Linked DNA regions of Notamacropus eugenii. The protein of the gene in region 1 purifies or fractionates together with the protein of each later gene. This does not show direct contact. Links are inferred from orthologs where the notes say so. Each region holds a gene or a part of one and is shown in the gene's direction. Other genes may lie near its edges. The genes, in order: NAPA, STX4, STX16 and STX6.

Region 1 (7,701 bases):
ACACAAAAAGGGGCAGAAGACAGTCCCTGAGGGGCTCACAGTCTGCTAGTGGAAGAGAACAAGCAAGCTCTGTTTATGATAAATAGGAAATCATTTCCTGGGAGTAAGAGGAGCCCAGAAATGCCAAACACCTCTCAGAAGTGCTCAGCAGTCACGTGACTCACTCAATGTTGCCCCAGGAGGAAGGCTCAGAGCTAGGATTTGAACCCCAGTCTTTGGGCTGCAGGGCCACTAGAGGAGCCATGGTGCACAGAGCACTGAACCTAGAATCAGTTCAGATCAGGCCTTAGACACCAGCTGTGTGATCCTGAGCGAAGCACTTCACCCTCTTTGCCTCAGTTTCTTCATCTGTAAAATGAGCTGGATAAGAAAACGGTATCTCTGCCAGGGGTCATGGAGAGTCAGACAGACTCGACAGTAAAGCTTGTGGCTGCAAATCCAGTGTTCTTTCTCTCAGGCCATGGAAAAGCGGGTGGATTTGCAGCTTAGTAGGGCAGGAGTCTAGAGTTTGGTTGGCAAAGTCAAGGCTGTCATGAGGCCATGTGAGCATGTTCTGTGACCCGTTTCCATTTTCTTTTACTAGATTCAGACAAAGAATGTGGCCCAGTGTGTTGAATATTATTATATCTGGAAAAAAATGATCAAGTTTGACTGCGGCCGAGCCCCAGGGCTAGAAAAGAGGGTCAAGAGAGAGCAGGATGAGGTAGAAAGGACAGAGGAAAAGGTAGAAAGATGCTGGGAAACCTGAGGGGTTGGGGTTCCCAGGGTCCCCTCTATCTCTGGGTGGGGGTCCTGAAGGGAAGGGCCCATATAGGAAACCACGTCCTGACTTTTCCTCACTCTTGCAACCCTCAGTCATTAGGACTTCCTCTGGTAGGGGTCTTGTGTCTCTGGCGTCTGAACTCCCCAGAGTGGTGGGATCCTAAGCATCTCCTCTCCTCAGGTGACCTGCAGCCCTCGAGACCGGCTCAGTCACCGGCCAAACCCAGAGCTGAAGATCAAAGCTAAGAGTTACAAGAGAGAGGCCAGTGTCTCCTCCAGCCCAACCGCTGGCCCTAAGAGGACACCTGAGCCGCCTGGGAGTGCTGAGAGCCAGGGCGTGTTTCCGTGCCGAGAATGTGAGAGGTATTTGCCCTCCAGAGCCCTGCTTGCTCAGCATCACTTGGTCCTCTGAGGCCCTTGGACATGCCATTCTCACCACTCTCTCTTCAGGGTGTTTGATAAGATTAAGAGTCGAAATGCCCACATGAAGCGCCATCGCCTGCAGGAGCACGTGGAGCCTCTGGTCAGAATGAAATGGCCCGTGAAGCCCTTTAGGAGCGAGCCACGAGATGAGGAAGATGAGGAGGAAGCTGGGGCGGAGGGGGGCCCCCTCCGGTGGTAATGGGAAGGCCAGGATCCTGGGGGGGCCTACCTGGCCGGGGCCTCCGACTTGGAAAGAGCCGGTGACCAGGCCTGGAGGAGCTGCTGGGAGCTTGGCCCAATGGGGAGCATGCCCCAATGTGACCACAATTTCTCTTTGGGGTCCCGTTAAATAGCTCGGGTGTCTGATGGGGCAGCCACATCCTATGTTGGGTCATAATTAGGAACGGGGCAGGAAACAGTCATTGCATGATTGTTAAGGCTGTGTGGTGTGGATGTCCAGGCCCTATACCATTCAGTTGGGTGACCTCTCCCCTTTTTCCAATCATATCTCTCTGGGGGAGAGAAAAAAGACAAAAAGTTGGATCCGAGTAGCTCTTAAATCTTTGCCTAAGTTTTGGGGTTTGTTATTTTTGTTGGAAAAGGCCACGATTTCAGAGAATCAGTGGGAAAATACCTTCATAGCGATGACATGTCAGGGCCTCCCTCACGCAAGGAGGATCCTTCTGCGTTGAGTCCAAGGTCCTGTGGTGACTTGTGCATTGTTTGGTTTTTTTGTACGTGCCTACTGTATAGCTTATTAAATTGGGTTTTTGAATGGCTCTTGGTGTGCTGCTGGGACTTCTTAATGCATCAGAGGTCTTCTGGCCTGCCATTTTTCATCCTGTTCAGTTGAGCAGTTATAAAACACCTACTGTATGTAGCGCATTGGAGATACCTCTGGGAAATAGAACTGGAAATAGCCCCTGGCCTTAAGAAGGAACAGGACTAAGACATTTACCCCCATAAGTAAAGGAGATCATTGTGGGGTGGGTGGGATATCAACTGGGGAATCACCAAGCAAAAGAGGAGGGGACAAAGAACAGGCACCAGGGATCGGTTCATCAATCAATCTGGGAACATTTATTAAGTACCTACTACGTGTCAGGTACTGCATGCCAAGCATCTAGCACACAAAAAGAGGCAAAAACAGTCCCTGCCTTCAAGGAGCTCACAGTATAATAGGGGAGATAAGCAAATGTATCCAAAGCAAGCTAGATACAGGAATGAATGTTTCCTGCAGAACAGAAAATAATTAACCGAAGGCACTAGTATGAAGAGAGGTTGGTGAAGCCTTCCCATAAAGGTGGCAGGGAAGGTGTTCCAGGCCCTGGGAGTGACCAGAGTGCTCAGTGCCAGGAGATGGGGGGGTTTTGTGGGACAGCTCACTGGATGGGATGTGTGGCATGAGAAGGGTGGGGAGGTAGGAGGGGGCCAGGCAGCATTTTCTATTTGCCACTGGAGTTTATTGGGGGGAGGTGGGGTGTGATCAGACCTGGATGGACCTCCACCCAGGCAGCTGTTGTGGTAGTCCAGGTGTGGGGTGACTGGAGCCTGTACCAGGCTAGGGGCAGTGCTGGAAGAGAGAAGGGGGTATATGACAGCTCGGAATGGGGGGGAGGGGAGAGCTAATGAGTACAGGATGGGTCCTGGGCTGTGTGAACCTGAGGGACTGGGGGTGAGGGGCTTGCCAGCACTGGAGGTGAAGTTTGTGATTTTACTTTGAGACACGTCTGGTATGAGTCTACTGGACATCCAGTTTGAGCTGTCTGAAAGGCGCCTGGAGATCAAGAGAGGCTGGGGCAGGAACAGGAGACTTGAGAGTTATCAACGCTGCTGTCCATTGTGTCCAACTCTTTGTTGAACCCTTGGCAGAGATACCAGAGTAGTTTGCTATTTCCTTTCCCATGGCCACAGATAAACAGGGTCAAGTCACTTGCCCAGGGTCACACAGCTAGAAAGTATCTGAGGCCAGATTTGAATGAACTCAGGTCCTCCCGATTGCGATTGCGGTGCTCTAGCCATTGTGCCCCCCCAAGTTATCAGTATAGAGATGGTAATTAAATCCATGGGAGGGAATGAGGTCACCAGGTGAAGTAGCACAAGGGGAGAAGGGAAGACAGCCCAGGCAGGAACGCGGGGGTCAGAGGGCACGATGTGAAGGAGGATCCAGCAAAGGAGAAAGAGGGATCAAGAAAGGGAGGGACAGGAGGAGAGTGCTCTGCAGGGCCAAGGGCTGCAGAGGTCAAGGAGAATGAGGACTGAGGAAAGGCCACTGGATCGGAGATCATCAGTAACTTGGACAGCGCGGTGTTGGCATGATCAAGTCTGAGGCCGCGCTGTCGGGCTCTAAGAGGACAAAGTGGGGCCCCAGGATGGCATGTTTGTGGGCGCAGGGAATCATCCCCTAGAGAGGAAGGGATGAAATGGGATCAGCCTCGTGGGGAGGGCAGTGATGGAGGAGGGGGCAGGAGGACCTGCGTGATGCCGGTGAGGAAGAGGGAACTCACCGTAGCTTCAGCCTTCCCGGAGAGGAGGAGGTAAGGCTCTCGAGCTTGGGGCGGGCCGAGACATCAGGGATGGAGGGGGGGCGGGCCGGCAGCACCCACCGAGGGCCCAGCTCGCGTCAGAGGAGCTGCGGGATTTCCTCCACCTCCCTTCAGCAGCCCGGGGCAGCCGCTGAGCAGAGGACGCCTGGGACAGGCAGTGGGCACAGAGCCTCCCTGGAGGCGCCGGGCAGTGTCGGAGGAGGAGGTCAGCCTGGGCCGAGGCGGGAGGAGGCGGTCGCTGGCTCTTTCTGTCTCCTGATCCGTCACGTGAGGGAGCAGTCCCTCGGTCCGTCTCCGGAGCCCAGGTTCCCAGGAGGGCAGGAGCCCCGTGCCTGGGGCGGGCCGGGAGGGGGCCGGGCTCCCCTTCTTCCTGGTGACGCCGGAGCGGAGTGGGGAGCTCGGCCGGAGAGCCCCGCCTTCGTGCCCTGGGACACTCCGGCCAGCGCAGAGAGGGCCACGTGGGGCCAGTCCTCCGCAGTCGCTTTCTGCCCTTGGCGACGGCGCACTCAGAAAGCAGCTGCTCGGCTCTCCGCATGCGCCCTGTGGCCCCCTGGGACCTGGGTCTTTCACCTTCATTCCCTGGTTTGGTCAACAGAGGGAGAAGACCCAGTAAACAGGCCCAGCAGCCTGAGCATGCGCCTTTGCGTGGTGTTCCAGCGGCCGCGCAGGCGCATTTCATTGTTTCCTCGGCCCACCTCGACATGCCATGACAGCGCCTATCAAAGACGCACGCTTACCCTCCCCTAGCGCACGCGCAATGGGTGGAAAATCCTTCCTACCCCTTTTCTTCGGGTAACCACAACATCCGGGGCAAGGGGGGCGGGCGGGAGGCGAGGCATCGGGATGGGAGGGGTGAAAGTTAGGAAGTTGTCACCTGATGCTAGGTATCTTGAGTCACGTGCTGCAAGACCGACGGGAGGCAGGTCTGGCGAGAGGACGGCGGGCAGGGATTGGCGCACAGGAGTCACGCGGCTCTACGAGGCTGGAGGTGGAGAAAGGGGGTGTGCGTTGGGGCGGGGCCCACCGGCTCGAGGGGTCGGTGATTGGCCAATGCGGATCACGTGCCTCGCGTCTGCCGCCGTCCTCCGTCGTCGTCGGTCGTCTTAGCCCTCCTCTGTTGTGGTTTCCCGGCTCTGCCCTGCCCCTGTGCCCCCCGAGACTCCGGCCGCTTCCCCGCCATGGACAACTCCGGCAAGGAGGCAGAGGCGCTGGCTCTGCTGGCCGAGGCCGAGCGCAAGGTCAAGAACTCGCAGTCCTTCTTCTCCGGCCTCTTCGGGTGAGAGCGGCCGGCCGGGGGGCGGGCCAGGGAGGGGGCGGGGAATGAGGGGACCCGGCCTGGGACTGGGGGGGTTGGGGAATGAGGGGACCCGGCCTGGGACTGGGGGGCGGGGAATGAGGGGACCCGGCCTGAGACTGGGGGGGTTGGGGAATGAGGGGACCCGGCCTGGGACTGGGGGGGTTGGGGAATGAGGGGACCCGGCCTGGGACTGGGGGGCGGGGAATGAGGGGACCCGGCCTGGGACTGGGGGGCGGGGAATGAGGGGACCCGGCCTGGGACTGGGGGGCGGGGAATGAGGGGACCCGGCCTGGGACTGGGGGGGTTGGGGAATGAGGGGACCCGGCCTGGGACTGGGGGGCGGGGAATGAGGGGACCCGGCCTGAGACTGGGGGGGTTGGGGAATGAGGGGACCCGGCCTGGGACTGGGGGGGTTGGGGAATGAGGGGACCCGGCCTGGGACTTGGGGGGTTGGGGAATGAGGGGACCCGGCCTGAGACTGGGGGGGTTGGGGAATGAGGGGACCCGGCCTGGGACTGGGGGGCGGGGAATGAGGGGACCCGGCCTGAGACTGGGGGGGTTGGGGAATGAGGGGACCCGGCCTGGGACTGGGGGGGTTGGGGAATGAGGGGACCCGGCCTGGGACTTGGGGGGTTGGGGAATGAGGGGACCCGGCCTGAGACTGGGGGGGTTGGGGAATGAGGGGACCCGGCCTGGGACTGGGGGGCGGGGAATGAGGGGACCCGGCCTGGGACTGGGAGTGGGGTGTGTGAGGAGGGGCCCTGGGAGGGTGATGAGGGCCCCGGGGAAGGGAGTCTTTGGCTAGTGGAAAAGGGTCAGCCCCGGGGATGAAGCCAGACAGCTGCTGCTGGGGGGGAAAGGGTTTGGAGCCTGATGGTCTCTGTTCCCATCCAGGCTCTCCCATTTACTAGCTGTGTGACTGTAGGCAGGCCCTGTGACTTCTGTGGGCCTCAGTTTCCTCACCTGTAAAATGAGAGGATCCTGCGGGCAGTAAATATTTGATGCCTTGGAGAGTTTAAGGAGGGGAACGTAGGACTGAAGAATGTGAGGAGGGGATATTGGGGTACCAGGCAACTAAAAACTAAGGAAGTGGAGGGATGGAGAGTAGGGAGAGAGGGGGAGGGTGTGTGTGGTGGGCATGGAGAATTGAGAAGGGAAATAACTTGATTGTTTGTGCCTTTAATTTCTTTCCACTTCTCTTTTCTCCCTCGTGAATTCCTTGAAAGCAAGAAATGTGTCGCTTTTAATCTTTGTAGTTCAGGGAACTTCCAGAACAATTGTTCATAATAAACTTTGGTTGCCTTGATTTGAAAGAGGTAAGGAATATGGTCTAAAGCAGGGATGGAGAACTGTGGCCTCGAGGCCACATGTGACCTCCGAGTCCTCAAGTGCAGCCCCTTGGCTCAATCCAAACTTTATAGAATAAATCCCCTTATTAAAAGGATTTGTTCTGTAAAACTTGGAGAAGGTCAAAAAGCCATACCCAAGGACCGAGAAGGCCACATGTGGCCTTGGGGAACAGCTTGCTGGCGGGCACAAAGAAAAAAGACTTGGAAGAAAAACTGAGGAAGAGGGGCTAGAAAGTATAGAAAGCTGTATTAAGAAGGCCTGCAGTATTGGAAGACCCTGGAATGGGGGCACTAGATCTGGAAGAAAAAGTGGGGAGGAGAATATTCAGATACTTGGACATGGGAAACAGTGAGAGCCGAGAACTGGAAGTGGAGAGAAGCTGGGGAGTGGGGAAGTGAGTGTTGACAGTTACGTGTCTGGAATTCCCAACTCCCTGCATTGGACAGGGATTTGTTTTCCCACTTATTCCCAAGAGAAAAAGTTAAAGTTTAACTTAAGGGGAGGGTCACGGTGAGACAGTTCCTTGGAGGATTTCGTTTACCTTTTGCTTGGAGTGTTGAGGCCTTGTAGCCTGAAATGTGATTTGAGGTCTCAGTTTGATAGGTCCTGCCTGAATACCAGTCCTGTGGTCAGCCCTGCTTGTGCCAGCCTGTACTGGGGGGAGGGAGACACCAGCTGATCATGAGGATTTCAGATCATAGACAATACTGCCCATATGAGGGGCAATGTACTGTGAAATCTAACAAGTGGCCTGGATTCTAGAACCTCTCTCAGAAACTTGGCCTGCACTTGGCCATGGTTTTGGACTAGATGACCCATAAGCTAACTATTCTAGCTGCAAGTTGTGATTTTGTGACTCAGCACTGGAAGAATCGAGAGAAGCAAGCTGAATGTTGATTTACAAGGCATCCCATTCCATTTTGGGATGATTGTGATGGTTAGAAGGAGCATCCTAGAGAAATGGAAGCTTGGCTTGAGCCTCAGAAGTTTGTAGGTGGGTGTTGCTTGGGCAGAGAGGGATAAGGCCCTGCAAATGGTCAGAAAAGGGGTGAACAGAAGTAAGAATGAGACTAGCCTAGGTGCAGGGCTGGCTTGTGGGCACATTGGATGTTAGGTCAAGGAGCCAAGAAGCAGAGCATCGTTCAGAGCTCTTTCTAATCTGTGTGGCTCAAGAGTCTGATTTGGGAAGGGAACATCTTGAAAAGGAATCCCTTCCACAGCATCCCCCACATGGAGTCATCACATAATGGAAAGTCCTGCTTTTTTGAGGCAGCCCTTTGGAACATTTCTAGTTATGGAGGCTGTTTTCTCTAGATTGAGCCG
Region 2 (7,901 bases), on another chromosome or scaffold:
TTTGTTAGATTAACTTGCAAATCTATTTCAATTCTTCAGAGACTGTTCTATTTCATATCTTGTCATACAGGAACACCAGTAGAAAGTTGGCATTTAAAAGATAGTCCTTTATGTCCATAGAAAACTTGGGATCATTCAAGGAGTTCCATAATTTTCTGAAAACAATTCATCCCATTCTCCCTGTTCTGTTCAACTCCTACTTCAATTTGTTATCCATTTATATTGTTTATACCAGTTATATAGACTAATAGAGAAGCTCTATAGACTTTCCATGTAAACATATGTCATAATCTGAGAGACATTCATAATGGTCTTTTTGGATGGTCAGGCCAAACTCTTTGAACAGTTACAAATCTTTTCCAACAGTCTTTTCAGTGCACCATTTATTTATGAGGATGACAATACAATGTCATCCCCAAGCAACAATATCTATAGGACCTCACCATCCACAGAGAATCCCCATTTATTTTCTGCACCGGTACAGTGACAAATATATAAGGGGAAGAGAGTCTTTCCTGTTTTATGATGATTATGATTTCTACTTTTACATCTTATCAGAAATCTTCAGTGATTTAATGTAGATAGAGAGGCATCTCATCAGAAAAGAGCCTTTAAGGTGGCATTTTGCCCCATTGATTCAAATACTTTGAATAATCAACAAAGAACATAGTAAGATCTTCTATTCTTTATATTTTTCAAACAATTTTGGAACGATGTTCTTTTTGAAATATCACTTCTGAAACTCTGCTTGTTCCCCACAAAATTGAGGATTCTCTTGAATTCTATATATGTGAATTGAATAAAGATTATGTATAGGTAGAAAAGTAGGTAGATAGATAGATAGAAAGACAGACAGATAGATAGATAGATAGATAGATAGATAGATAGATAGATAGATAGATAGATAGATAGATAGATAGCTGTTGATGTCCTCTTATTTGATTCTTTTAAACATGTCTTTGGTATGTTCTCCTGACTCAGAACCTTACACATTGACTCTAGCTCTCCCACAACTGCATGTTCTTTAGCATAAATCTCCTCTGCATATACTTACTCCATCCACTCAGGTTGCTTTTCCTATCTTTGTATTTATTAATGGCATGTCTAACTCCCCTATGAGCGTATCCTGGAATATGTTAGGGTCCAAGTGTGGACTATTAAGGTTCCCTTACTGGTGAAAAGTTTGCCATAGTATTCTTTAAAGATTATTTGTATTTTTCTTCTATTTGTTGTCCTTTCATTTTAGTCTCCAAATACCTTTTGGATGACCTTGTGGAGCTGGATTTCTTGCAAAAGTTTCATTAAACTAGCTGTACCTTCTACTACTTCTCCCTGCTTTAAGGCTAGATTGCTAATAATTGTCCACCATCCTTTGTAAAATTTTTGAAAAAAATTCTTTTTTTAGGTGCTTAATACATGTTTATTGACTTACTGCCAGTGCCTTTCATTTCAAGATTACCTCCCATCTACAATGTAAAAATCTGTTATGTACATAACTATTTACATGTTTTCTCCCCCCAGTAAAATGCGGCCTTCTTAAAGATAGAGACCATGTTGTGTGTTTTTTCTTCTGCTTTCCATGTATCTCCAGCTCTTAACAATGTCTAGCAAATATTAAGCACCCAATAAATGCCTGCTGACTGACTAACACCAGAAAAAAAAGACACATAAACTGCCTCTAAACCTAGAAAGGACACTAGATTCAGAAATTTAAGAAGACTATGGACCACCAAATCCAACCTCCATTTATTGGCATTGAAAATCCTTCACAAACTTGATCTGACATAACTTTCCAAGCAAATAGTACTCCCATTCACACATTCTACCATCCAGTCAATGTGTCCCATTTTCTTTTCCTCATATATAAAACTTATATCTTCAGTCTTTGTACAAACTATCTGTTCCCTGGTCTGGAATTGACCCTTTCCTTACCTTATTTACCTCTTAGAATCCCCACCTTCCCTCAAAGTTCAGCTCATATTTCAGCTCCCACCCAAGGTTTTTTTTTTCCTTATATAATTTATTTATTTTTCAGTTCTTAACATTCACTTCCACAAGAATTTGAGTTCAAAATTTTCTCCCCATCTCTCCCCATCCCCTACCCCAGGACAGCATGAACCCCATTCACCCCTTCCTCCAGTCTGTCCTCCCTTCTACTACCCACCCTTCTTCCATCCCTCTTCCCCTCTATTTTCCTGTAGGGCAAAATAGATTTCTATACTCCATTGCCTGTATAGCTTAATTTCCAGTTGCATGCTAAAACAATTTTTAACCTTCATTCTTAAAGCTTTGAGTGCTATATTCTCTCCCTCCCCACCTACCCACCATCATTGAGAAAACAAGCAATTCAATATAGGTCATACATGTGTAACAATGCAAAGCACTTTCATAATAGTTATGTTGTAAAAGACATTTCCCTCTGTCCTATCCTGCCCTACATTTATTCCATTCTCTCCCTTGACCTGTCCTCCCACAACAGTATTTGCTTTTGATTATCCCTTTCCCCAATTTGCTGTCCCTTCTATTATATTCCCTCTCCTATCCCCTTCCTCCTTGCCTTCCTGCAGGGTAAAATCGATTTGCATATCCAATTGAGTGTGTTATTCCCTCCTTAAGCCAAATCCCAAGAGAGTAAGGCTCAATTATTTCCTTTCATCGTCCCCCTCTTCCCTTCCATTGTAAAAGCTCTTTCTTCCCCCTTTTATGTGAGATGATTTGCTACATTCTACCTCTCCCTTTGTCTTACTCCTAGTACATTCTATTCAACAGTAAATTTTATTTTTTTAGGTATTCTCCCTTCATATTCAACTCACCCTATGCCCTCTGTGTGTGTGTGTGTATATATACACACACATACACACATATACCCATATACATATACATACCTACACATATATAATATACACATACATACCCATACCCACTTACATATATATATATATATATATATATATATATATATATATATATATATATATATATATATATATATATATGTATGTATGTATGTATATTCCCTCTAACTACCCTAATACTTAAAAAGGTCTCATGATTTACAAATAATATCTTTCCATGTAGGAATGTAAACAGTTCCACTTTAATGAGTTCCTTATGGCTTTTCTTTCCTGTTTAACTTTTCATGCTTCTCTTGATTCTTGTATTTGAAAGTCAAATTTTTTATTCAGCTCTGGTCTTTTTAACAGGAATGCTTGGAAGTCCTCTATTTCATTGAATTTCCATTTTTCCCCCTGAAGTATTTATTATACTCCATTTTGCTGGGTAGGTGATTCTTGGTTTTAATCCTATCTCCTTTGACCTCTGGAATATCATATCCCAAGTCCTTTGATCCTTAGTGTAGAAGCTGCTAAATCCTGTGTTATCCTGATTGTATTTCCACATTACTTGAATTGTTTCTTTCTGGCTGCTTGTAATATTTTCTCCTTGACCTGGGAACTCTGGATTTGGCTACAATATTCCTAAGAATTTTCCTTTTCAGGTCTCTTTCAGGAGGTTATCTGTGGATTCTTTCCATTTCTATTTCACCCTGTGGTTCTAGAATATCAGGACAGTTTTCCTTGGTAATTTCTTGAAAGATGATGTGTAGGCTCTTTTTTTGATCATGGTTTTCAGGTAAATCAATAATTTTAAAATTATCTCTCCTGGATCTGTTTTCCAGGTCAATTGTTTTTCCAATGAGATATTTCAGATTGTCTTCTATTTTTTCATTCTTTTATTTTTGTTTTATAATTTCTTGATTTCTCATAAAGTCATTAGCTTCCATTTGCTCCATTCTAATTTTGAAGGAATTATTTTCTTCAGTAATCATTTGGACATTCTTTTCCATTTGATCAATTCTGCTTTTTAATTAATTTAATTTATTTTTTTATTATTTTTTATTTATTATTTTATTAATTTAATTAATAAATCAGTTCTGCAATTCTTCTCCTCATTGGCTTTTTGGGTCTCTTTTGCCATTTGGGTTAGTCTATTTTTAAAGGTGTTAATTTCTTCAGCATTTTTTGGGTTGCCTTTAGCAAGCTGTTGACTTGCTTTTCATGACTTTTTTGCATCGCTCTCATTTCTCTTCCCAATTTTTCCTCCACCTCTCTTACTTGATTTTCAAAATCCTTTTTTAGTTCTTCCACGGCCTGAGACCACTGCATATTTTTTTGGAGGTTTTGGAAGCCTTGACTTTTAGGTCTTCCTCGGATGGTATGCTTTGTTCTTCCTCATCTGAAAGGAAGGAAGAAAATACCTTTACAGCAAGAAAGTAACCTTCTATAGTATTATTTTTCCCTTTGGGGCATTTTCCCAGCCAGTTACTTGACTTTTGAGTCCTTTGTCAAATGGAGGTTATACTCTAGGGACCTGTAAGTTCTCAGGGCCTCCAAGATGGTACAATCAAGGAAGAGGAGTTTACTCCTCTCCTAACCTGTTCTCTGGTCTGTGAGCAACTACAAGCACTCTTTTCTGCCCAGGATCTGTGAGTAGGATTCCCTCTCCAGAGCCTCCACCAGCTCCACCATGTCAGTGCTCCTCCTCACCCCAGGACTGCCACTCAGAACTGAGACTCAGATCAGCAGCTCAGTGTCCCCAGGGTCTTTAGGCTGAGGGCTCCAAAAGTGGACACTGCTGCACAGTGGCTGCTGCCATCTAGGGGCTAGTGCTGGGGCCAGACCATGCTCCCCTCTCACACAGGGGAAAGAGCTTTCTCATTGACTTTTGAAGCTATCTTTGACGTTTGTGAGTTGAGAAATCTGGGAACTGCAGCTGCTACACATGATTCTGCACCCTGGAGCCTGCTCTAGTTTTGTCCTTGCCTTGTGACCCAGACTGGGCTGTGCTCTACTCCGAGCTGGTGCAATAGATCTTTCCTGTTAGCATTCCAGGCTGTCTTGGGCTGGAAATCTCTTTCACTCTGTTGTTTTGTGGTTTCTGCTTCTCTAGAATTTGCTTAGGGTCATTTTTTACAGGTATTTTATGGGCTATGCGGGGAGAGCTTCTACAGGTCTGTCCTTCTACTCTGTCATCTTGGATCTGCCCCCTTTTGAAAAAATTTGTAGTCTAATTTGCCTTTGGCAAATGAAGAAGTTGCCTTTGGCCCCCATCTCTCTCAACTTGGCAAGTAAGTAAAATGTTTACTAAATGAAGCATTAAACATTGTTTACTAAATTAAGCTCCTTTGGGTCTTTTTATTGTGAAAATAGCCACAGTCATTAGTCTTCTGTATAAAAGAAATTTTCATTGGTATCAATGTCATTTTGGATCCCCATTTCCCAATTTTCATTGCTGATTATTTGTTTAAATAATCTAGGATTGAGTTGTTTAAATAGGAACTCATACTTTTTCATTATTGTTCTCTTTACTTTTTAATAATTTTGACCTTTGCTTAACATATCTGATTGTACACAAATAACTGATCCAAGATAATTTTACACCACTAATGCATTTTTCTGTCCATTAGCATAAAATCTATTTCATTTTTTGCAATGTTATTTGTTGCTCACCATGTGTAGAACCTTACTATGTCTTTTCTTGAAGAAAATGTTTGTGAGATAAAGGCATGAGGGTTCTGTGAAATTTACAAGTCTTTGACTTCTCTCATCCCTTTTTCTTAAAATCTGCTTTCTCATTTACATTTTATCTTCACTTTTTTCACTTTTATTGAAGTTATTAAGCATCAAAATATATGCTGCTTTACTTTGGAGGACCTTATCAATGTTTTTATAGAATTTCTCTACCTACCTCTTCATCCTCAACAATCAATATTGGTCCAAAAGCTACAATTATTTTCATGGTGGTCTTTTTACAAACACTTATCAGTACTGTAATACCAGATGACCAAATATCCCATGAAACAGCATTTCTTAGATGGGATGGGGGTGCAGCTGGATGGTTGAGCCTGAAGTTAGAAAGAAGAAATAATCATCTTCCTGGGTTCAAACCTAACCTTAGATACTTAACTAGGTGCCACTTAATCCTATTTGCCTCAGTTTCCACATCTATGAATGAGCTGGAGAAGGAAATGTCAAATCATTCCAGTATCTTTTACAAGAAAACCCCAAGTGGGGTCACAAAGAGTCAGATATGACTGAACAATAACAATGTTGCTACCATTGGCTATACTATAAGAGCAACTCCTTTCTTTGCCTCTTCAAGGTGTACTGGGATTTATCTTCCATTTAGATGTAACTTCCTCTTGTTTCTTGTTTCCTTTATACCAAGAATTTTAAGACTGATATGATTCAACTCCTTTAGCAGTCATATGCTAAGTGGGGAAGGCGGAACTGAGATCTGGAGGGAAGACATGATTTTATATTGACATTGTGTGAGTCAGTAGAGGTAAAGCTGAATAGCAGTGAATGCCCAGTTGAGGTTACGTAATATAAATGTATAGTAGTTTAAATCAGCTTGGTTTTCTCCATTAACACTGAGTATTCTCTATTATTGTTGCTGTTAATAATAATAATTGTGGGTTCCCCTAATCAACCTTTATTACAACAGATGTTTTGAAATAGTTCTGTGAAGACTCACTGCTAGGTATGTCCTACTATTGCTTCCATTTTAATAACAGGAAAATGAGAGTAAACATTGGGACAGATGGCAGATATGATAGGGTGCATTTAGTTGTCATCCCCTGGTGTCTTTTATAACATATATTGTTCTTGGTAACATACTACAGTTCACTTCCCTTTTCCCTTTAAGTCATCTGTAATATTGATTCTGAAATTGTGGTGTTCCATGGTTCACAAACACAAGGCACCACCCCAAGAATATTGGTATTAAAGAGATCATCTTTCGAAGCAGTGAGCACTTAGGATATACTCACAGGACTATGCAATTTCCTAAATGTCATCTGGCCTAAGCACTGCCTGGCATATACATACATACACATATTTATAAGATACACACATATACATGTATTTATATGGGTATATGTCTGGTTAATACACATATACCTTCTTTTTAGTATGTGTGTTGATACCTGCAATCAAAAGACATGGGTTTGAATTCTGGTTTAGTTACTTCCTAACTATGTGACTTTGAAAAAAGCCATTTGAAAATTTTTTTTCTCAACTGAAAAATAAGAAGGTTAGCATAGGTGATCTTTGAGTTCCTTCTAGCTCTAAATCTGTGCACATGTGTGAGAGAGATAGCAGGGTCTTGTGGATAGGGAGCTGGTCTTTCCAACCAGGAGGACTTGGGTTTAAATCTTACCTGTGACACATACTGGTTTTATGACTCTGGGCAAATTACTTAATCTCCCAGTAGTCTAGTCAACTCTGTACTACATTAAAGGTGCCTACTGGAATTGGTAGAGGGGGTTTCCTCATCAGGGAATTTCCCACAGCAATGCAATCATGGGTTTAGTCTTCATCCCTATCCATGGTTGGCAACAATGGAGCAGAAAATGAGTGGGCAACTTTCAGAGTTTTGGTGAACAGCATCACATTTGCTCCTTTGGGTCAAAACACTTGCAAACATCAGGATTGGTTTGATGAAAATCATGGGGAAATTCAGAAACTACTATATAAAAAATGAGAATTCCACAATGTTTAACAACAGGACAGTTCTCCCAGTTCTAGGAAGGCAGTTTTAAAATTTCATCAAGAGCAAAGTGCAAAAGAAGCTTAGAGAGATGCAGGATTCTTGGATCAGTGAGAAGACAGAAGTGATTCAGTTTTATTTTAATAGTAACAATTTAAAGCACTTCTACAATGCCCTTAAGGCTATTTATGGATCAAAGATCTTTGATGCATCTCAGCTACTCAGTGTTGATGGAGCCACACTAATCAGTGATAAGGACATGATCCTGGAGAGATGGGTTGATGTAGCAGAAAGCACCTTGACATACATGGGGGGCTTGCTATTACAGGTTCTGAGATCTGCTTTTCTAAAAG
Region 3 (7,664 bases), on another chromosome or scaffold:
GCCCATTTTGCGAGGGTTAATATAGTTAAAACTTGATAATATCATACATAAATCCACTTAATCAGGAACATGTAAACATTGCAACGTGCAGAAAACAAACAAATAAGTGAGGGCAACATGACAACCTCTCCTCTCATCCTCTTAGGTGAGAACCTCACCTCATATTTTTTTGAGGAAAGTAAGTCTGTTCAATAAGGGCTCCTGCTCTCTCCTCCTTAGATATCCTCTTCTACTATTTACTCCTTTATGCCAGTCTCTGATAAAGAGACAGCCCTTCTCACAAAGGCCCTCTATGAATACCCCTGATCTCATTCCCTCCTGTCATCTCCAGCAAAGTGCCCCCATTATCATTCCCTCTCTCATCACAAACTTCAAACCCAACCCCAGTGTACTGGTTCCTTCCCCGCTGCCTACAAACGTATCCTTTGAACCCTGACTGCTATCCCCAAAGCTACTGCTCTTATTCCTCCTTTCTTTCTCTCTCAAATTCTTTGAAAAAGCCAGCTACACAAACATCTCACAGCATATACCACAATAAACAGTTAGTGTAAATATAAAAATATATCATAAAGAAATCTGAAGAAAAGATAAAAGAAATAGGATGATGGGGATTTATCAAACAAGGTACAAAGAGAACAGATAAAAATGGACAATATTGATTAATAAAATAGAAAAGGTTTTACTTAAACAAAATCAAGCATTTGGAATTAGAAGGGAAACAGTTAATTTGCGAAAAGATGCAGGAGATATATATATATATACATATATATGTAAAACAAGAGCCATTCTTTCCTAGATGGTCAGATATGATAAAGCAGTTTTCAAAAGCAACTCAAGCTATCAACTACATAAAAACAATGCTTTGAAATCACTAATAATAGTGGAAATGCAAATCAAAACAATTCTTGAGCTACCATAGCCATCTGATTAGCTATAATCAACAGAGCACTAGCATTACCAGGAATTGGGAAAAGCTTCCTCTAGAACGTGAGACTTTAGCTGAGATTCAAAGGAAACCAGGGAAGCCAGGAGACAGAGAAGAGGAGGTAAAGAATTCCAATTCTGGAATAGCCAATGAAAATAGTCAGAAGGTCTTCCAGTTCAAGTGTCTTTTATGCAGGATCACCTCTGTGGACCTTGTGAACTCTGATTTTTTTTGTTTTTAATTTTAGGGTAGAAATAGGGAAAGTTATATCCTTTCTGATTAGTATAAGAAAACATCATAGAGCAGCTAGAATTCCAACAGTCTAGCTACAAATAGCTTGTCCAGTTGGGCATGAAGCATTCAGGTATACAGTAGGGCTTATGGAAAAGGGTGGAAAAGGAAAAGGAGAGAAAGGGGTTGAAGGTTGTTTCAAATAAATACCTATTCTCTGTTGGTGATGCCTGGGGGCACTGAGGCAAAAATCATTGGTATGGCTTCAGAAACAAACCTGTTAGCAGCTAATTTTTCATTTTTCCTGCCCAGCTGTCTGCATTTGGACAGTTAATCACCTGAAATACTTTTGATGGATTCATCTGTGAATTTATCTGTGTGCGTTTCATTTCCTAACTCATTCTATGGATTTGATTTCCAAATTCTGTTTTTCTCTGATGGCACTATCCTAACCTATTAGAAAGGGGGACTCTTGGAAAACCTCCCACAAACCAGTCCATTTGTCTTCTCCTTGCCCTCCCAACCCCAAATTTAAAAAGTACACAGACCATGGCTTGTCACTATTATATCCAACTCCCTCAGGTGGAAACTTTATTTGAGATTAATAGAGACCACAGTTGGTGGCAAGGAGCTTTATGCTTCTAGTTTGTGTGTGAAAACTGGAGTCTCTAATATCGGGTGGAGACCAAAAGAGCTTCATTCTAGATAAAAGAAGGAAAAAGTATTGGGGAAGTCTCTCATTGTATAACCCTGCAGTGCCACCTACAGATAGTATGAGACACAGAGAGGTGGGACTAAGGAGGAGGAGGAGGAGGAGGAGGAGGAGGAGGAGGAGGAGGAGGAGGAGGAGGAGGAGGAGGAGGAGGAGGAGGAGGAGGAGGAGGATTCCAATCTTGAGCTAGCACCTTAGCGGATGGGAGTCAGGGATCAGATAAAGTGGGAGGAAAGCAGAGGTGTGAAAACATGGAGAATGCTAATCTGCCTGTGCTTTACTGGGTTTGGGGCTGGGGAATTTCTGTAAGTCATTTGATGAAACCAGTTTAAGGACTGGTTCACACTGCTCAATTGATGTCAGTCCTTTCAAAGAACCATCTTTGCAGGGAAGGAGAGAAGGTAAGAAATAGAGAAAGAGGAAGAGGAGAGGAAGGAGAAGGAGAAGGAGGCGGAGGCGAAGAGGGGGAGAGGCAGCATTATGTAACCACACGGAATTGAAATTCTCTTTCCTACCCCTTACTGCCCTCCTTTTCCAAGCACATGATACCTTAGGGTACTATGACCCTTACTTCAATCCTAAAAGAAACTATACTGAATCCAATGTTAGTCTGGGCTAATACCATAGACATAATGTCTATGGTAGAAACATGTTATCTCTACAGGAGGTAATGCCTATAGGTAGGCAGATTTTCTCACCTTTATGAAACTTAAGATTCTTTCTCTGTAAAGTCAGGGGGTTGGAATAGGTGAGCTCTAAGATTCCCATCCGTTCTATCAGTTCTAAAAGTCCTTGAGGGCAGGGGTACTGTCCCTTATTTGTTTCCCCTAGGGCATAGATCTTTAATCAGGGATCCATTAATTTAAAAGATACATAGATAGATGATAGATACATAGATAGATAGATGCCATATTTCAATATATTGAATTCCTTTATGAGTTTATGTATTTATTTATGCATTTAACAACATTATTTTGAAGAGTCCATAAGCTTCCCCAGAAAACCAAATGGGTTCATGATACAGAAAGGCTAAGAACTATATTTATTATCCTGGAGGATAGGGAATTTTGGAAATGGAAGTGTGTGTGTCCCTGGCCACATCCAGAAATGGCCAATCTGCAGGACTAGATGATGTCTTGGACCCCCCCAGGATTTCCATTTCTCATGGCTCCCTCCATGCCATGTGTGTTTGGACCGACACCAAAAACACAAGCCAAGACAGCTCTCTAAGCTACCATATATCAAGTGTTTCACAGAATCTTAGGAACCTTAGAAATCCCTTAGTCCAATCCCGTGGAATAAAAACTCTTGATAATTCCCGACAAGTGCCATGTAACCATTGTTCGAACACCTCTATTCAGTTCTGGGAAGCTTTCCACTTTCAGAAGCAGCCAGTTTCAACGGGGGTCAGCTTTAGCTGTAGTGAAGACTCCCTTTGGGTCCTGTTGGACTAGGTCGCAGAATAATCGAATTCTTCAGTCACTTCGGGTCCGAGCTACTTTCCAACTCTGGTATTTTGTGACTGAAGAATTCGATTATTCTGTGACCTAGTGAGCTTGCCAGGCAATGGAGAAGAGATCTGCTCGGGAAGACCTGGGTTCGAATTCCACCTCCAAAGTACATTGTCTGTGTGACCTGGGAAAGTCACTTAACCACTCAGGGATCAACCATAAGTGGTTGAGAAGGGACTAATTTGCATCGGTAGAACTTCCCTTAACCGGTGTACTTCCCATTCCAATGAAATGACAGGTCCGGTGTCTAGTCCACCCTTTGGGCCACGGACTGGTGTTCGCTTCGTTTTGGGTCCCCAGCGCTTAGAAGAGTTTTGTACTAGTAGGCTCTTCCATACACATCGGGAAGTCGCCTTGAGTTAAGGAGAAATCTGCCCACCTGATCTTCCCACCCCTTTGGTGGTCGTTAACCCCAGAATGAGAGGCTAATAAAGAGCACCGGCCCGTGGGGGCTGGGATGGAGTCACCAGTCTGCCCTTTCCCAAACCTCTGAGATTTGGGAAATCCGCTTCACGTTCATGGGCTTCATTTCCTCACTCATCAAATGAAGGGGCTGGTCTCTAAGGAAGAGTCCAGCTCTGAACCCTATTCTCCTTTCAGGAAGAGAAAGGTAGGACAAAGCGGAACTAGAGCAGCATTTGAGGATACGGCCTCACCGAGAAAGCTCTGAGCGCAGCTACCAAGCCGGGCTGGGGGCCGGGCCAAGGGAGCAGGGCGGAGCTGAGGGAAGAGCGCCCGGAACGTGAGGAGCCCGGGCAGCAGCGGCAGGGGCCACTTAAGGAGGACGGACCGGAAGCGGGAAGGGGGACTCTTGAGCCGATGGAACGCCGACGCGGAAGTGGCCGGGCTGCTGTAGTCAGATCCGGGGATGGATGGAGCCGGAGGCGGCGGCGGCGGCAGCGGCGGAGTACAGGAATGATGAGGCTGAGGATTGCGCTGCTTCCCCCCCGGGAGGCCCTGTAGCCGGAGGGGGGACGAGGCGCCGGGCGTGAGGCTCTCCTGCCTCGAGCCCCTGGAGGGAGGAGGACGAAGACCCGGGACGTCGGGGCCGGGAGCCCGGCTGGGCTCTGACAGGCCCGTGGACGGGCTCCGAACGATCTGGAGGGGCCAGGCCCGGCCGGGGCTCCCTGAGGGGGACCCAGGACAACCCCAAGAAGGGCGGGGGCTCGGCAAGACACCCGGGGTCGGGTGGGAATTAGACCGTTAGAAATCCAAGCTAGGATTTGGGGAAGGAGTGGGCGGGGGACCTCCCCCTTTACTCCCCCCTTCCCACTCTGCCCCTGCCCCTTGAGGGCAAAGTGGGGAAGCTTGAGGGGAGGCGGCCCCCGCAGGGTCCGAGGAATTCTGAGGTTCAGGCCGAGGCTCTGAGTGGGGGTCCCCCACGGGGAGGCGTGCAGGGTTAAGCATGGCCACCCGGCGTTTAACCGACGCTTTCTTGTTGTTGCGGAACAATTCCATCCAAAACCGGCAGCTGTTAGCCGAGCAAGTGAGTAGTTACACCTCCTCCACCTCCAGCCCTCTGCATTCACGTAGCGTTGCTGCGGTGAGTCTCCTGCCGGCCTCCTCCACCTGCTCCTCGCGGTGCCCCGCGCTCCGGCGTGCGCGCCGTCCCTCTCTCTGTCTCTCTCTCTCTGTCTCTCTCTGTCTCTCTCTCTGTCTCTCTGTCTCTGTCTCTCTCTCTCTCTCTCTCTCTCTCTCTCTCTCTCTCTCTCTCTCTCTCTCTCTCTCTCTCTCTCTCTGTCTCTCTCTCTCTGTCCCTCTGTCTCTCTGTCTCTCTCTCTCTCACTCTCTCTGTCTCTCTGTCCCTCTGTCTGTCTCTCTGCCTTTCTGTGTGTCTACGCGTCTCTGTCAATGCCTTTCTCTCTGTGTCTCTCTTGAAATGTCGTTGTCTTGTGGTTGTTAGGAGGCATCAGACTGTAGTGCTAGGTTTTGTTTTGAATTCTCCCCCCCCTGCCGTCTCTCCCTCCTGTCCCCCTGTCCCCCCATTCCTTGGGCTTTCCCTTCCAACTTTCACAGAGCCGCCCTCGCTGCGGACTCGGACGAGTTCCTCCCGCCGGGTCCTGCTCGGTTCTGAAGCCCTGTGTTGGATGCTTCATGAAGCGCTGTCTCAGGCTTTCGTGGCTTCATGTTTACCCTCACCCCCTCCTCCCCTGTCTTTTCATTCCGATGCCTCCCCTTTTTGTCCAACAGATATTCTCTTCAAAATGACTCTGTGGAATGGAGTCGTTTTAGCCTCATTTTATCCAGTGAGGATTTTCCATTCCTGTGTGGCAGTCGAGTCTCTTCTTGCTTTATGCTTTTAATAATTTGTTTCCCTATTTCCTGAAGAAGACAGTTTTGTGAAACTGTAAGGTTGGGAAGGGGTGGACTTCCCTGTTTTCATTTTCCATTCAGGAAATGAGTCCTTTCATTATGACTGCCTTTCACACGGTGTCTGTGTGGGAATTAAATTAATACTGGCACTTTTTTTTTTTAGGCCTATTAGCCCAGCAGTCCAGTAAATTGCCTGTGGCACCACACTTTTCAAAAATGAATCCTAGCTTGAGTTTAGATTTATTAGTAGAAATGGTGTTTAAATTAAAATTTAAAATTACATTAAATTAAAAATGGTATTGGTGGTTATATTATTAGAAGACATGACTCAGCTCTTACAGAGACAAATACTTAGGAACTGTCATTTAAACCCATAGACTTAGAAATGCCACTTTAGAGACTTACTAGAAACTTGCTCTCCTTCAGAGACCCCTTGAATTTTGCTATGATTACCACCAATTTCTTCTGAAAATTTATTTCATATGTGGGATATTCACAAAGTGACTCTCTAAGGATATACTCGGTCCCTTCTTTATCGATTCATACGTATAGTCTGTATTTTTTGAGCTGAAAAAGTATGGTTTTGTTTTATGAGATGTTAGATTTGAGATGAAATAGGCCCAAGTACCAAAACATGCGTGACCTGCTATATTTGCATATACACACTTGGTTAGGAATCTGAAAAGCTATGATCCTTAGAGGTATTGTTGAGTTAGGTTGGATCTAACTTGTAGTGACCCCGTTTGAAGTTTTCCTGTCAAAGATTCTGGAGTAGTTTGCCATTCCCTTCTCTGGCTCATTTTACAGATGAAGAAACTGAGGCAAACAGTTAAGTGACTTGACCAGGTCCACAGCTAGTGTGGGGGGCTGGACTTGAACTTTTGAAAATGAGTCTTCCTGATTCCAAGCCCAGATCTTAGAAGCATGCTATACTTAATATCCTGTTGAGCTTATTAGTCTACTGGGTTCTGGCGATTATTAGCTTTATGACCCTAGGCAAGTTACTTAACCTTTAATTACTTCAAACTTTAGGAATTAATAGATCATAAATTTATTTGCAATCTGCTTCTGTGGAGGAATCTTCCACATAATGGGTTATGTATGCTGGGGAATAAAACTACTGTATAGAGGTTCTCAGAAAACAAATCTTATAAATTATTTTTAAAATACAATCTTGAAAAAGGCTAAAGATGTTTGATAATATAGACATGGAATTATTCAAGCCCTAAATGGGGAAAGTTAGACTGGTGCAACTTAGGAAACAGAAGAACAATATATCAATTACCAATTTCTGTTTATACCTTACAGAACAAATTGTTTAAAAGTTATTGTGCCTTTCATAATGGAGTAGTAGTGAAATAAGGCTGTTTATACTTTGCAAGTACAGCCATTTCCCAGCAGGAAACCAGACTTTTCAAAAAGTATGTGATAGTAGTACTGCTGATCAAGGCACAAAGCCCTGAAAAATAAAATAGCTTTGAAAATAGTAGTATGTACAAAATTCTCAATTTTCTCTCAATTTTTTTTCAAAAGTTCGAAATCAAACTAGAGAGGAGGCATGGTAGGATATGGTAGAATAGAAGGAGCACAATTGTTTAGGAGTCAGGAAGCCTAAGCCCTTTCCTCTGCTACTAATTTAACAGTGTGATCCTGGGGAAATCATCTCTCTGAGTTTCACTTTCCTTGTCTGTGAAGTAAGGGATTAGATTAAATTATCTCTAAAGCCTTTAGAAGTCTAAAGTTCTTTGATACTAATATCTCTTTAACTCAGGATTTATGATAATCAAAAAGCATTACCATCTGCTGGGTTAAGATTTGCACCTTGGTTTGTTACATTCCTTTGTTTCAAGATCAAACACAGTAAGTGGCTACTCCAGAACAAGGAGACGTGTTGATTGAAAAATGAAGTTATGATTATTGGTTTGGTTACAAATAGAAAGAAGAATTTTCCTGACCAGCAGAAAATCTTAAA
Region 4 (7,072 bases), on another chromosome or scaffold:
TTGGTCAAACTACCAAAATATTTACTAGAAAACTAATGATTTTCATCTGAATAAACAAAGAACCAAGAATCTCAAGGAAAATAATGGAAAAAAAGGCAGGGAGAGAGAAGGAGGCCTAGCAGTATCAGATCTCACACAAGATACAAAAAGAAATGAAGACAGTTTGCTAAACCCAAAGACACAAATAAAAGGGCAAGGGCTCATTATTTGATAAAACTCCCAGGAAAACTGGAAAGCAATCTGGCAGAAATTAGGTCTAGACCAGGGGTGGGGAACACCTCGAGGCCCTATGTAGGCCTCTGTATCATCAATGCCATACCCACAGCAACCACTATATAGAGATATGCAGGCTTATTTCCAGGGTAAATTCACAAAATATAAACTCTCTTTCTCAAAGAGGAAACCAAAATATTTGTTCAGATACCAGAATGTCATTTCCACCATAGTAACAAGGAAATTTGTACACTTTACCAATAGAGGAAGGACAGCCATCACCAAATCTTTCCTCTGTTGGGCCTCCCCACAAACAAACTCCTGTAGACAAATGCCCCTTTCTCACCCAAGCTAGCTGCTCTGCTCTGCTCTGCCTACTGCCTCTCTCTCAGCTACACCTCACTGACTTTTCCCAATCCACCCATTAAGCAAGATCCTCCCACCATAGACTCCATGTGACTCAAGCTGTGACTGGGTCAAAGTTCAATGCCAGTCATATGGACCTATTAAAGGGCAGGGAAGATCTTCAAAGTTCCTTAACCTTATAACCTCTAGGACCTTTTGATTGAGTCAAAGTTTTACAGAACAAATTCTTTTATTAAGGGGATTTGGTCTATGAAACTTGGATTCAGTTAAAGGGTCATACTTGAGGACCTAGAGGACCTCATGGGACCTCAAGGCCAAAGGTTTCCCACAGTTGGTGGACTTTGTCTCTAAAATTACTGTTGGAATATTATCTTACACTATGTACCCTAGTAAGCTCTAAATAAATACATGGTTGAAATAAAAAAAGTCACACCATAAGCAAATTAGAGGAGCAGTGTTAGAGATACCTTTCAAAATTATAGATGTGAAGGAGCTCTTGACCAAACCAGGGATAGAGAGAACCACAGTAGATAAACTAGATAATTTTGATTAAATGAAATTAAAGCATTCTTCTCCTCATTGGCTTTTTGGACCTCTTTTGCCAATTGAGATAGGTGTAATTTTCTTCAGCATTTTTTTGAGTCTCCTTTGGCAAGCTATTGACTCGCTTTTCATGATTTTCTTGCATCACTCTCATTTCTCTTCCCAATTTTTCCTCCACCTCTCTTATTTGATTTTCAAAATCCTTTTTGAGTTCTTCCATGGCCTAAGACCACTGCATATTTATTTTGGAGGTTGTGAATGCAGGAACCTTGACTTTTAGGTCCTCTGATGGTATGCATTGTTCTTCCTCATCTGAAAGGATGGAAGAAAATACCTCTTCATCCAGAAAGTAGCTTTCTATAGTCTTATTTTGGGGGGCATTTTCCCAGTCAATTACTTGACTTTTGAGACTGTTGTCAAGAGGAGGGTATACTCTGGGGACCTGTAAGTTCTCAGTTCCTCCAAAGTGGAAGTTCCTCCTCTCCTAGCCTGTGCTCTTATCTGTGAGCAACCACAAGCACTCTGTTCTGCCCAGAATCTGGGAGTACAATTCCTTCTCCACAACTGCCTCCAGCTCCACCACGCCAGCACTCTTCCTCAGCCCAGGAGAGCCACTCAGGACTGAGATCCAGATCAGCTGCTCAATTCCCCCAGGGGCTTTAGGCCAAGGGCTCCAAAAATAGTTGCTGCCACTGCAGTTGCTGCTGCCAGTGAGGCCAGACACCCCCCCCCCATTCCCCTCTCACCCAGGTGAAAGAGTTTTCTCACTGACCTTTGAAGCTGTCTTTAGTGTTTGTGGGTTGAACAATCTGGGAACAGCAGCTGCTGCCAGGGATTCCACCCCCTGAAGACTGTTCTAGTCCTGTCCCTGCTGCTCCATGGCCGAGGCTGGGCTGTGCTCCATGCCCAGTGTGGTAGACCTTTCCTGTCTGTCTTCCAGGCTGTCTTGGGCTGGAAATCTCTTTCACTCTGTCATTTTGTGGCTTCTGCTGCTCTTGAATTTGTTTAGAGTCATTTTTTACAGGTATTTTATGGGCTATGGGGGACAGCTTTTACAGTTCTGTCCTTCTACTCTGCCATCTTGGCTCTGCCCCCCAATTAAATAAAATTTTAAAACTTTTGTGTAAACAAAAATTAATTTAGCTGAAATCAGAAGGGAAACAGTTAACTAGGAAGAAATATTTACAGCAAGTTTTTCTGAAAAAAAATTTACTAATCCAAGATATATAGAGAACTAATATATCAGAATTTCTCATTCTCCAGTAGATAAATGGACAAAGGGTACCAAAGGGCAGTTCTCAAAGGAAGGATTTCAAGCTATCACTGATTACATGAAAAAATAATTGAAATTACTAATAATAAAAAATACTGATTAAAAAACCCTTCTAAACTTCTATTTTACATTCATTTGATTGGAAAGGGTGGCAAATTTTTTTTAAAAAAGGGAAATGGCAGTTATTGGAGGGAATGTAGGAAGATAGGCATCTAATGCCCTAGTTAGTGGCATTCTGAAATTGATCCAGATGTCCTGGAAAGCAGTTAGGAACTGTGTCCCAAAAGTCACTAGATTATACCTACCCTTTGATCCAGTGGTACCATGACTAGGGCAATATTTCAAAGGGAAACAGAAAGGACAGGCACATATACAGAAATATCAATAGCACCACTTTTTAACTAAGGGGATGCCCATCAACTAGGGGAATGACTGCACTCCTGGTTTCTTCCTGGCTTTCTGTGCAAATGCCTCAGAAATCTCATTTCACCCCTGGACTTTACGGAAGTACTTCTTATCCCTCAGGCCACTAGCTTTGCTAGCTATTTGTAGAACTTACATTTTTAGGAGGATGCTCAAGCCAGGCTGTAACTTCTGGTACTTGTCTCCCCTCCCCTTCCTTCTCCTCTCCAAAGGAAGGTAAATTGGATGGCCAGAGGATGCCCAGTTATCCTTTCTCTACAAGGCTGCTGAACAGATACTTTATTCTGTTTTCCTCCTCCTCCTTTCTAACGATGTCTTCTACTATGTGAACATAAGCTCCTGGAGGGCCTGGCAGGGCAGAGATGTGTTGGAGTCAGCTCCTGAGGCCGGAAAGGAAATAGGCAAGCTATAAATGAGGGTTTAATGTATTGTTTGTTGATTGTCCGGATGACAGGTCTCCAACAGCCCTCCCTAAATAATATTACAGTGTAATTGGGAAGTGCGTAACAAAATAAGCGAAAATACAACAAAGCGTGGACATTACATTATGCACTACGGCAGTCGTGGTCCTCAGTGAATCCAGATTAGTGGATCCCCTTCATTTCTGAGTCTAGAAGAACCAGCTTATAGGAGCACAACACCGTAAAGAAAAGAAACTTGGCCAGACTAGAGCACAGGAACCATGCAGGCCTCTGGGGGGTGAAGCCCCGGACAGGCTCGGCCCTCCCCGGGCACTTCCCAGCTGGTGACCCCCGGCGCCTCGCTTCACGCTGTGGGCCTCAGTTTCCTCGTCTGTCCAACGGGCCGGAGAAGGCAAAGGCGAACCGCTCCAGGATCTTGGCCAAGAAAACCCCAAAGGGGCCCCAAGGGTCAGATGTGACGAAAATAAAGGAACAATCTTTCGATTGTCAAGATGGAAGTAAAAAGAAGGGAGGCACGGTCTAGCAACAGAAAACGTAGAGCGGGAAACTCAAACCACTTCGTAAACCGGGTGAAAAAGGTCCCTCCCCCCCGGGGAGGTATGAAAAGAGTATCATTGGAGACCCGTCCCTCCTCTAGAAATGAGCCTCCCCGGCCACGTGACACGGGAAAGCAGCCCCGCCTCCAACTCCCGAGGCTCCTGGCGGCCCCAACTCTCGTCACGTGACCGAAAACCCACAGCTTCTACTGGAGGAGGGGGCGGGCCCTGGCCATGTCACGTGAGAGCGGAGTGCGGAAGTGGTGCTTCAGTAAGTGTGCTTGTGATTGGTCGGGGCCGAGGGGGCGGGGCCACTAGGGGCGGAGGCTTGGGGGGGAGCCGGCCCGGGAGGGTCCGGGCGGGGAGGCGGACGGTGATCGAGTCTGGAGCCTGCGGCCGCCTCCTTTGCGTTGCTGCTAGCGGCAGGCCGCTCCTGCGAGACTGTCGCGCCGGCGGCACCGCGCGCGTTCCCCTCGCTGGCCCGCCGACTTTTCAAGCCCCGTGAACCTCAGGGAGCGGCGGAAGCGCGGGGAGGAGGAGCCCGGTGCGTGCGGACGGGCTGCGGCGGGGCGGCCGCCGGGACGCCATGTCCATGGAGGACCCCTTCTTTGTGGTGAAAGGGTGAGTAAGGCGGTCTGGGGAAGGAAGCCCGGCCCCGCCGCGCGCGCTCCCACTCGGGCACGGACGCACGGAGCGCGCCGGCCTGTTCCGGAGCAGCCCCGGGGACCTTTCCTCAGGGTCGAGCACCCCTGCGGCCTGGAGCCCCCTGAGACCGGGGTCTGGCCGATCTGTCAGCCCCGGACGGTGACGGGGTGGGGGTGCACTGCGTGTTCGGAGAGGGGAGGACGGTCATGCGTGGGTTACCCACGTCCCGGAGTGAGAGCCATTGCATGCGTCAAAGGAGAGGCCTGTGTCAGCCGCGGGCCGCGAGGGGGGCTCGGGGCCATTCACTGAAGCTCCGGGGCTGGGGGCCGCCTCTCTGACCACTGACCACGGAGAATGGACGGACCTGCGCCGGGGGAGTGATTTCCTCCACCTGTGGAGTCCCCGGCCCAGCCCCCAGATGGACTCCACTTGAGTAAACTCCCATTGTCTCCAGGACGGAGCCTTCAGTCTGGGGGAGCCCACGGACGGCCGAGAAGTGTCGAAGCCTGTTGGGAGGGAGGCGTGGGGAGGGTGGGCAGACAGCCGGGGGGTGGGGAGCCGTGGGCAGAGGGAATGCGGAGCAAACTGAATGCTGGGGGAGATTTTTTAAAGTGTATTGAGTAATACTATGGAAGAGAAACAACCTTCCATGCTCAGTAATGGTGTTGGAAAGAAAACCGAGCGAAACCAGCCAAACCAAACTTTGCACGGCTTTCCAGTAGCAGCGGGTGTTTTCCCACGCTCCTTGAAGGAAATGAGCTGTCTTAAAAACTCCTGTAGTTAATCCAGTCTATTTCAGATGCTTTTTCTGCTAAGTCATCACCTGGATTGATCTTTTAAGTGTCTCAAATTTGTTTTTCCATTAGTTGGCGTCTTCTCTGATTATCCATTGTTGGGATTTTTTTGTTTTGTTTTGTTGGAAGGCGAAAAAAAGCATTTTTTGAGTTGACTAAAGCCTTTAACGAATGGTAGAAAGAGAATAAGATTGTAATTTTTCAGTAACAGCTTAATTAGGAAGTATATGTTGGAGAGGCATCTTAGTGTAGTGGATAGAGAGGAGGCCAGGAAGAACTTGATTGCCCTACCTCTGACATGTAATAGCCTATAACCCCTTAGAAAAGTCACTTATCCTCTTAGCACTCTGTGTGCTGACCTGCATTGGTAGAAAGTTATTCGTCAGGGAGGGAAAAAAAATCACAGTTCTAGCATGTAATCTCTATTTTCGGGTGAGAAGAGCATTGTAGATTTTGTATTACAAGATGCTTTGAAAGTAAAAATCCCTGTATTTTACAGTTGAAGAAAGTGAAGCACAGAGGTCCGATTGAATGATTTAGCCGAGGTCTTGATAGGATTTGAATTGAATCCTCTTAATTGCAGATCTGGATGCTCTTGCCTGGATAAGAATATCTGAAAGATTGAAGGGTGCAAAACACATAGCTAACTTTTTATGCTATTTTGCTTTCTTAGTTGTCATGAACTTCATTACTATAGAGGGCAAAGCCTACAGAGAGGTTGTCTTTTTTGCGAATGCTAATATTTTTACTCTCAAGTGTCAAGCACATTTAATCATTGTATTGTGATTCTTGGGGGAAAATACAGTGTAAAAAGTTCATCCTTCTTCTGAATAGTGCCCTTGAAAGTTCTTTTCCCTATAGTTAATTTTGTGTCATAAAGGTGGAAAAACCTGCTGAGCTAAACTGTTGCTTTCTCCGGTTCTTCATTTACTATTGGATTGTTTAAGAAACGGTGCTTTATACGTTGTAAAACACTGCTCTTTTCTCTCAAGCTCTCTCTGTCTCTCCCTCTCTCCCCTCCTCTCTCTCTCTCTCTCTCTCTCTCTCTCTCTCTCTCTCTCTCTCTCTCTCCCTCTCTCCCTCTCTCTCCCCCTCTCCACACACACACACACACACACACACACACACACACGTGTATATATATATATATATATATATATATATGATATTTAGTTTTCTAAGTTAAGAAAGTGTGAGCTATAATAAAGTTTTCTGGTATTTAGGAATTGGTTATTTTAAATCCTTTGTTTCTCCTCATTGATGCTTGAGTCGAGTAGAAATGGCAGTTATAGACTTGGAGAAGTACGTGATAATTGTATGAAATTTCAAAGCGCTACCAAGTGCTGTGCCATCTTTTCATTGTGTTTAGCCTTCCAATATAGGTACAGTGACAGAAGTTTAAAATTCCAACCATGGAATGTTGAGCTGTTCTTTTTGTTGCTTTGTTCATTATTTCCCCCTTTGATGTTAAGGTTGTTCAGTAGGAAGGCATTTAGTAATACCTTTTGTGCCATGGAAAGATGAAGGGAGTGGATTTTGTTATTGCTTAGTTTTGTACATTTGCTTATTTGATGGTAGTTTGATGAACCTTCTTCTAATCATTGGGCTAATGTGATGGGTTTTGAGTGGGATTAAAAAAGAAACTAAAGTGTATTTTCTGCTGTCTAGGATCTGAGTCAGTTTGAAGAAATCAGATGTACAACGTACACACACAATAATGTCAAGATATTAGGAGACAGCTCTGTTTTTCAGAGCTAAGTTGTGCCCTGAGCTAGGCATAACAACAATCCTTTTCACTCACTCTCTTGACAAAATCCTGTAATTATTGTATTGCTTTGATGAGCATCTGTTGTTCTC

The links.
Region 2: the proteins of NAPA (region 1) and STX4 purify together in Homo sapiens (affinity purification with mass spectrometry; 4 studies listed by BioGRID and IntAct, with this or other methods). This does not show direct contact. The link is inferred for Notamacropus eugenii from reciprocal best matches to the Homo sapiens genes NAPA and STX4.
Region 3: the proteins of NAPA (region 1) and STX16 purify together in Homo sapiens (affinity purification with mass spectrometry; 4 studies listed by BioGRID and IntAct, with this or other methods). This does not show direct contact. The link is inferred for Notamacropus eugenii from reciprocal best matches to the Homo sapiens genes NAPA and STX16.
Region 4: the proteins of NAPA (region 1) and STX6 purify together in Homo sapiens (affinity purification with mass spectrometry; 3 studies listed by BioGRID and IntAct, counting the BioPlex papers as one, with this or other methods). This does not show direct contact. The link is inferred for Notamacropus eugenii from reciprocal best matches to the Homo sapiens genes NAPA and STX6.

Annotation. Positions count from the first base shown.
Region 1 is NC_092876.1:29,450,708-29,458,408, reverse strand, and holds the start of NAPA (alpha-soluble NSF attachment protein), read left to right. Parts: upstream 1-4,688; 5' UTR 4,689-4,909; coding exon 4,910-5,007; intron 5,008-7,701. Other genes in the region: ZNF541 (zinc finger protein 541), read left to right, coding at 584-724, 944-1,125, 1,213-1,384; uncharacterized protein, read right to left, coding at 3,700-4,434. UniProt on the Homo sapiens protein: Required for vesicular transport between the endoplasmic reticulum and the Golgi apparatus. Together with GNA12 promotes CDH5 localization to plasma membrane.
Region 2 is NC_092874.1:377,695,285-377,703,185, reverse strand, and holds the start of STX4 (syntaxin-4), read left to right. Parts: upstream 1-4,889; 5' UTR 4,890-5,125; intron 5,126-7,901. UniProt on the Homo sapiens protein: Plasma membrane t-SNARE that mediates docking of transport vesicles. Necessary for the translocation of SLC2A4 from intracellular vesicles to the plasma membrane.
Region 3 is NC_092872.1:506,554,763-506,562,426, reverse strand, and holds the start of STX16 (syntaxin-16), read left to right. Parts: upstream 1-4,651; 5' UTR 4,652-4,784; coding exon 4,785-4,922; intron 4,923-7,664. UniProt on the Homo sapiens protein: SNARE involved in vesicular transport from the late endosomes to the trans-Golgi network.
Region 4 is NC_092873.1:464,543,902-464,550,973, forward strand, and holds the start of STX6 (syntaxin-6), read left to right. Parts: upstream 1-4,053; 5' UTR 4,054-4,362; coding exon 4,363-4,397; intron 4,398-7,072. UniProt on the Homo sapiens protein: SNARE promoting movement of transport vesicles to target membranes. Targets endosomes to the trans-Golgi network, and may therefore function in retrograde trafficking.